2 linked regions of the Arabidopsis thaliana genome follow. The protein of the gene in region 1 interacts with the protein of each later gene in a pairwise test. Each region holds a gene or a part of one and is shown in the gene's direction. Other genes may lie near its edges.

Evidence for each region. Proteins that work in one complex are often made in the same cells at the same time.
Region 2: the proteins of TFIIS (region 1) and AT4G10930 interact in a two-hybrid assay, tested with the Arabidopsis thaliana proteins (one large-scale study listed by BioGRID).

Annotation. Positions count from the first base shown.
Region 1 is NC_003071.7:16,132,490-16,136,244, forward strand, and holds the start of TFIIS (transcript elongation factor IIS), read left to right. Parts: upstream 1-2,053; 5' UTR 2,054-2,312; coding exon 2,313-2,477; intron 2,478-2,858; coding exon 2,859-3,755. Other genes in the region: AT2G38550 (Transmembrane proteins 14C), read left to right, coding at 178-568, 654-821, 1,182-1,231, 1,321-1,358, 1,623-1,740. UniProt on the Arabidopsis thaliana protein: Necessary for efficient RNA polymerase II transcription elongation past template-encoded arresting sites. Involved in the control of seed dormancy and germination.
Region 2 is NC_003075.7:6,709,532-6,713,286, reverse strand, and holds the start of AT4G10930 (RING/U-box protein), read left to right. Parts: upstream 1-2,038; 5' UTR 2,039-2,254; intron 2,255-2,323; 5' UTR 2,324-2,363; coding exon 2,364-2,426; intron 2,427-2,718; coding exon 2,719-2,804; intron 2,805-2,911; coding exon 2,912-3,002; intron 3,003-3,114; coding exon 3,115-3,164; intron 3,165-3,393; coding exon 3,394-3,481; intron 3,482-3,550; coding exon 3,551-3,660; intron 3,661-3,755. Other genes in the region: AT4G10950 (SGNH hydrolase-type esterase superfamily protein), read left to right, coding at 1-141, 318-445, 539-778, 1,091-1,346, 1,562-1,785.

The DNA of each region.
Region 1 (3,755 bases):
CTTGTAAATTGCTTGAGGCTAGAAAAAAATTGGACTTTGGTGAAATTTATTTGATTAAGCAATATAATCTGCCAATTTCAAGTGAGGTGCAATTTGGGGTTTGAAATTATCAAATGATCTGTGATTAGCTAAAGAACATGTTTTGATTATTACCCTTTATCGCCATTGTTCAAATAGGGAGAATCAGGTGTTGAGGTGGGGAAGGAGAAGAGTGATATAGATGTTGAAGATGATACATCTAAGGAAGCATGGAAACAAACTCTTGAGTCTTTTAAAGAGCAGGTATCAAAGATGCAGAGTGTGTCATCGGAGGCATACTCCGTTAACTCCCAAAAGGCGATGACGGTCTTGAAAGAAACTTCTGAACAACTTAGGATTCAAGCGGAAAAGGCGAAAGAAGAGTTGGGTACTAAAGCGAAAGTGGTTAGTGAAGAGGGTAGAGAATATATTTTGAAAGCAGCAGAAGAATCTCCATCAGATGTGAAAGAGATTGTTGAAGCATTTGCCTCCACTGAGGATCTGAAAAATGTGTCCCGAGCGAATGATTTTCATGTTGGAATACCTTATGGTAAACATGTTGTATATCTTGTTCATCTTTTGTAAGCTTTCATTGTTCGTGAGTAACGGGATAACAATGTTTGTATACTTTACAGGTCTACTCTTGCTTGTGGGTGGTTTTATTAACTTCATGGTATCGGGAAGCATTCCGGCCATCAGGTTTGGAGTCATTCTTGGTGGAGCCCTTTTTGCACTGAGCCTGGCAAGTCTAAAGTCTCATAGGAAAGGAGAGTCATCTACAAAGTTCTTAAAAGGACAGATGGGTTAGTAAAGTTTTTCAATCTGTATTAACCCTTTCTCATATCATTCACAAAAGCTAGCCCCAGTTACTGAAATCTAGTTTTAACAACCAGAATTGTGCTTTGATTAGGAACGGCTTTGATAACCCCTCTGATATGCATATTAGCTAACCATGAATGAATTAGTTTAAGTTGCATTATTGATTTGTCTAGAAATGAGTCTTGTTCCAATAGATACTTGTTGAATCCTAGATTTTGAGTTTAGTCAACAAATTAATTTTTCACTAATCTGATTTTTGAGGCTTTCCGACATTCTCCGGTTGAGTATAGATGTAAAGCATGTTTAGTGACGCTTATCTGTTACCGTGTTCTTATGTTCAACAGCTATAGTGGCAATCATATTTTTGAGAGAGTTGCGGTTGCTACTGTCTCAGGTAACTTTCATTGCTCAATGTTATATTTCAAATGGTTTGAAGAATGGCTTTGAATGAAACATAATTCACTCTCCTTTTTCTCTTTATAGAAATCGACGTTCCTAGGTTTTTTTACCACCCTTACAAGGTACACTCTGAAAACCATATCATTAATCATTGTACATTTGCAATTTGATAAATGAAACACGATAGGAAGATGATTGATAGAAGAACCTAAACTAAAATTCAAAGAGATATCTGAATGAAGGAAGATTAGTCATACCTTTTGACCAAACTTCCTGCTAGATTCAAATATTCCACGGGGAAAAGCAAAACACACTTTGCATATAATGGATTAATTAGGATTCTTATCAGAAAGAAGGCTTAAAAGTTTGTTGGATTACTGTTGCAGTGGTGGTGTGCTAGGGTTTTACTTGTACAAGATGGTGGTCAAGAGAGAAAAGGGACCAACCTTAGAAGATGGCGGAGAAGATGAATCAAGCGATGGGTTTGTAAGAAGTGAAGGATAAAGAAAAATGGGGTAAGAGGAAGAAGTGTTGTCGTCAACATCAGCATCATATATGCCAAACTCTTTTGATATCTCTTTTTAAGTTGTGTACAATTTTTGCGATCAATCCTTCTAATTTCCGTTGTATTTGGATTAGTGAGTCGTTTATTAATATCAACAAACCAATAAAAACGAGAATTTTATTTTGTTTGTGAAAAGCCCATCAAACTTTGGCCCAATAAGGGCCTGGGTGAGCCCAAGCTTGATGCAGTAATATCGGGATAAGGAGAAAGAGAGCAGAAGCGTGAATCTAGTAGTATCCATAGACCTAGCCACGTGATCCAAACCGTTGATTCTTCAAGGTTTTAACTGAAACCGTTGATCACTTTGTCTCGGTCGTATAAAATAAATTAAGAACACAGTTTCAGTCCGTAATCTCTATCTATCTTCTTCGTCGTGACTCAAACGAGGTTCCGCCGATTATAATCCTTCTCTCCATACTTGAGAGATTTTGTTGGATTGTTCTTTGTTCTGAGTCGCCTTGGATCTATCGGTGTTGGTGCTTTGTTTTTTGAGCTAGGGATTGTCGGAACGATGGAGAGTGATTTGATTGATTTGTTCGAGGGAGCTAAGAAGGCAGCCGATGCGGCGGCTCTTGACGGTGTTACCTCTTCAGGTCCTGAGGTTTCTCAATGTATCGATGCCCTTAAACAGCTCAAGAAGTTTCCTGTCACATACGATACCCTCGTTGCGACTCAGGTTCGTTTCTGATTATCTTCTCGTAACCCTAAAAAAGATTGATTTATTTTGCATTTAGGAAAAGGTTTATATATGTTGCATTTAGGAGGGTTTTTCTAGGTGTTGATTGCTTAATCTCGTTGCATTGACTTGTGTTGTTGTTACCTTAGATTTTTAATTAGGGTTATTTAATTTCATCTGAAAAAGTTTATAGAAGTTTAAAAAGAGTAACTTTAATTCAATAGATGAAGAAGCTTGAGCTAACTGATTTGTATAATTGACTAATTGTTTGTACGTCCCCGTTGATATTGTTGGAACAAACCAATTTGGACATTATCCTCTGGAATGTTGATAGTGTGTGTATTTGCTTTTGAGAAAGTTATATTCTTTTCTTGCTTCCAGGTGGGAAAGAAGCTGAGGTCTCTTGCAAAACATCCTGTTGAAGATATCAAAAGCGTAGCTACTGATCTGCTTGAGATATGGAAGAAAGTTGTCATTGAAGAGACAGCCAAAGCTAAGAAAACCGAAGGCACTAACGGTTGTAAAGAGGCTAAGGTGAATAAGATGGATGTTGAGAAGCCTTCAAATCCTGCTCCTGTTAAAGTTCAGAAACTTCAGAGGGGTGATTCGGCTAAGAGTATCAAGGTTGAGAGAAAGGAACCTGACAATAAAGTTGTTACCGGTGTCAAGATAGAGAGAAAGGTACCTGACATCAAAGTCACCAATGGAACCAAGATAGATTATCGTGGTCAGGCTGTGAAAGATGAAAAGGTCTCAAAGGACAACCAATCAAGTATGAAAGCTCCAGCTAAAGCAGCTAATGCTCCTCCAAAACTAACTGCAATGCTCAAATGCAATGATCCTGTGCGTGACAAAATCCGTGAGTTGCTTGTGGAGGCGTTGTGCAGGGTTGCTGGAGAAGCTGATGACTATGAGAGAGAGTCAGTAAATGCTAGTGATCCTTTACGTGTTGCTGTCTCAGTGGAATCACTGATGTTTGAGAAATTGGGTCGCTCAACTGGAGCTCAGAAGCTTAAGTACAGATCTATAATGTTCAACCTGAGGGATAGTAACAACCCGGACTTAAGAAGGAGGGTTCTCACTGGGGAGATTTCACCAGAGAAACTCATAACATTGTCTGCCGAAGATATGGCAAGTGACAAGAGGAAACAAGAGAACAACCAGATCAAAGAGAAAGCCCTGTTTGATTGTGAGCGTGGTCTTGCTGCAAAAGCATCTACCGACCAGTTCAAGTGCGGGCGGTGTGGTCAGCGCAAATGCACCTACTATCAGATGCAA
Region 2 (3,755 bases), on another chromosome or scaffold:
GAGATTCCTCAGTCGATAGCGGAACCAATAACTTTCTTGGAACCTTAGCGAGAGCAGATCGGCTTCCCTACGGTCGCGATTTCGATACGCATCAACCAACGGGAAGGTTTTGCAATGGAAGAATCCCAGTTGATTATCTAGGTTACAATTCTTCCCCAGTTTCTGGATATTGATTATAGTCCCAGTTGATTCTTAGAAGTGTAAGCGAAAATGTTGACTTCTTGTGTTCGATTCTTTATACAATTGAGAGGAACAAATTCATTGAGGAAATGTTGAATCATTCGTTTTTTGTTGTCCATTGAAAATCTTGTGAACAGCTGATCGTTTAGGCTTACCATTCGTTCCTAGCTATCTTGGACAAACTGGGACTGTTGAAGACATGTTTCAAGGAGTAAACTATGCATCAGCTGGTGCTGGAATCATCTTATCAAGTGGATCTGAATTGGTAATACTCAGTTTTTCAGAGTCTTTTGAGTTCATTTTCTGTATACCATCTTTCAGCTTTTTCAATCCTGTGGGGGAATTTTTGTTGTTGCAGGGCCAGCGGGTTTCATTTGCGATGCAAGTTGAGCAGTTTGTTGATACGTTTCAGCAGATGATACTGAGTATTGGGGAGAAAGCTTCGGAACGTTTAGTGTCAAACTCGGTTTTCTACATATCGATTGGAGTGAATGATTACATACATTTCTACATCAGAAACATCTCCAATGTGCAGAATCTCTATACTCCATGGAATTTTAATCAGTTCTTGGCTTCTAATATGAGACAGGAGCTCAAGGTTAGACCTCTAATCAATCTTTATACGTTTTCTCTTGGTAAAGAGTTTATAGGGGACAGACAAGTATGATTCTGAGTTAGTATAGTTAGTATAAGTGAGACATCTTGATTAGTACACAAAACGTTGCCTTTATGAAGATCAAATCACAACCCTTTTTTCTGTTTTGGATCTCTGGTTTGTATAGTTGTAGAGAGCATAAAGCTCATTAAGCTGCATATTGATAGCCTAAACATGATTGAGTTATAGTAGTTGCCTCTTCATTTAGCTGCATATTGATGGCCTAATAAGAGAAGTATTATGTTTGTTTCACAGACCTTGTACAATGTCAAGGTGAGGAGGATGGTGGTGATGGGACTGCCACCTATTGGCTGTGCACCATACTACATGTGGAAATACAGAAGCCAGAACGGAGAATGTGCAGAAGAAGTGAACAGCATGATCATGGAATCCAACTTTGTCATGAGATACACTGTAGATAAACTCAACCGTGAGCTTCCAGGGGCATCCATTATCTACTGTGACGTGTTCCAAAGCGCTATGGACATTCTCAGGAACCACCAACACTACGGTAAGCACCACTTCTATGTCAATTCTCAATTCACAAAAAGACTGTGACTGGTAACAAGTAACAACATAGCATTATAATCCCATAGCAGTATCTTGGAACTCAAACATAGTCTTCTGAGAGTGATATATAGAGTTTTCTGATCATCTTCAAGTGTGAAAGTAACTTGTCAAGAGTCTTGTTGAATCTTAGTTGTGTGTGTATTGTGGTGTGGACAGGTTTTAATGAGACGACAGATGCGTGTTGTGGGCTAGGGAGGTACAAAGGATGGCTTCCATGCATCTCGCCGGAGATGGCTTGCTCTGACGCCTCCGGTCACCTCTGGTGGGACCAGTTTCATCCTACAGACGCCGTTAACGCCATTCTAGCCGACAATGTATGGAATGGTCGCCACGTGGACATGTGTTACCCTACTAACCTAGAAACTATGCTTCATTCTTAAATCAGCTGAGAGGATAAAAATGTACATAAAAAACATAGTAAATTGTAAATGAACTTTGCAATTTTGATGTTTGGTCCATGGTACATAAAGGAAAACTATAGGTCTTTTATGCTAAAGAAAGAAAGTACGGGGTTAGAGAAGAAAAAGGATAAATGTTTTACAAAGTTGGGCTCAATGTATTTACGTAAATGGCCCACATGAAACAGAAAGTTAAGAGATTCGACCCATAAAAAGCACGTGTGGTTTATAAATGGAAAATTTCATCTTCAGGGAGACGAAGACATAATTTCAATTCTTTTCTCATCAAAGTTTCTAAAACAAAAATCTTGGCCTAAAGAGGTGACGTCATCTCCACCCTCTCGTAATTTTTCCAATTTTGCCCTTGGAAGCTGCTTCGCCTTTTTTTTCAATTTCATCAAGGGTTCTGAGATTTTTTTCTCTCAGCTTCTTCGTAGGTTTTTGATCCGAGGTAGGTAGGCTTTGGGTTTACAAAAATTTCGCCTCGATTTTTTGTTCTCACGCGTCGTTCTTGTTACAGGAAATCGATTTCATCTCTGATCATCTTTGTGACGAAGGAAATGGAGCTCGATTTTGACGCTAGTAACTTGGTTGAAGATGAAGCTGTTGAAGTTGAACATAATGTTAGTGTAAAATTGTACTTTCTGGGCTATTTTTCTTTTGGTTGAACTAATCATGGGTTTACCTTTTTCATTTCGAGCCTGGAGCTTTAAAACTTGTAATTTCCGGTGAAAATGGTTGTTTATGTAGCTTTATAGTTAGAATCATGAACATAAGTTGCTATGTCAACCATTTCATTTAGTTTGTGTCACGTTTCCTGGAACATATGTGGTTTTTAATCTCAAGGATGAGATTTTAATAAACTGTGTTTGTGCATTATTGCTTCTCAGTGTTGATTTTAATTTCTTTGAACAGGGTATGACTGAAATTGAAGGGGAAAGATGTGGAATTTGCATGGATATAATTATTGATAGAGGCGTTCTTGATTGCTGTCAGCACTGGTAAAAGCTTGTTTTCGCTTTTCATTGTCTTTAAATATTGCAAAGTTGCTATGGGTGTTTGTTAAGGAGCAGTCTGGTAATTTGTGTCTATGTCTGTTAAATTTCAGGTTCTGCTTTGAATGCATTGATAATTGGTCTACGATTATGAACCTCTGCCCTCTATGTCAGAGAGAGTTTCAGTTGATTACATGTGTCCCTGTAAGATGTCTCATATTTGTTTTTTGTTTTGTTTTATCTGAACATTTGTCATGATTTTTGTAAGTAGAACTTTTGAGTTTAGGAATAATGAGTTTTTGTTTTGATTATGAAGGTGTTTGATTCAGGTGAAAGCAGCAAGGTCGATGAGGATTTGGTATCAGGGTACTATTTTTTTCCTTGTGTTTGTTGTTGTGATAAAGTTTGCTTGCCTGAACTATCTGAGCGGTCTCTTTGTCCTCAATTATTTGTGGCCTATAATGATAAATTTATATTAAGTGGCATAGTATAATCAAGTGATTTAAAATGTGATAGATGTCATGTGTACCATATGTTTCTGTATTTGCTAAAAACTGTTGTGATCTGCTGACGTTAAACTAAGCAATACATGCAGAGATGAAGATTGCTGCATTGAGGAGGAGACTGATGTCGTCTCTTCTCCGTCACACTATATTGACGATACACACTATATTGATGAAAATGTAAGTATATCATATATGGGTTTTCCTAGTTACTACAAAGTACATTAAGCTTTCCTAATCATTTTGTAGGCAGTTGTCTGTTTAGATGGAGATCTTTGCAAGATTCGTAACACTTTCAGTTACATTGAAGGGGATTCAAACCTTGATACATCAATTGCTTGTGATTCGTGTGATATGTGGTAACTATTATTACCTGTTGACTTTATCTATGGTTTTTTTTTTTGTACATTGTCGTGATTGTTGTTTTTACCTCTTTTTTCTATCACTAATTCAT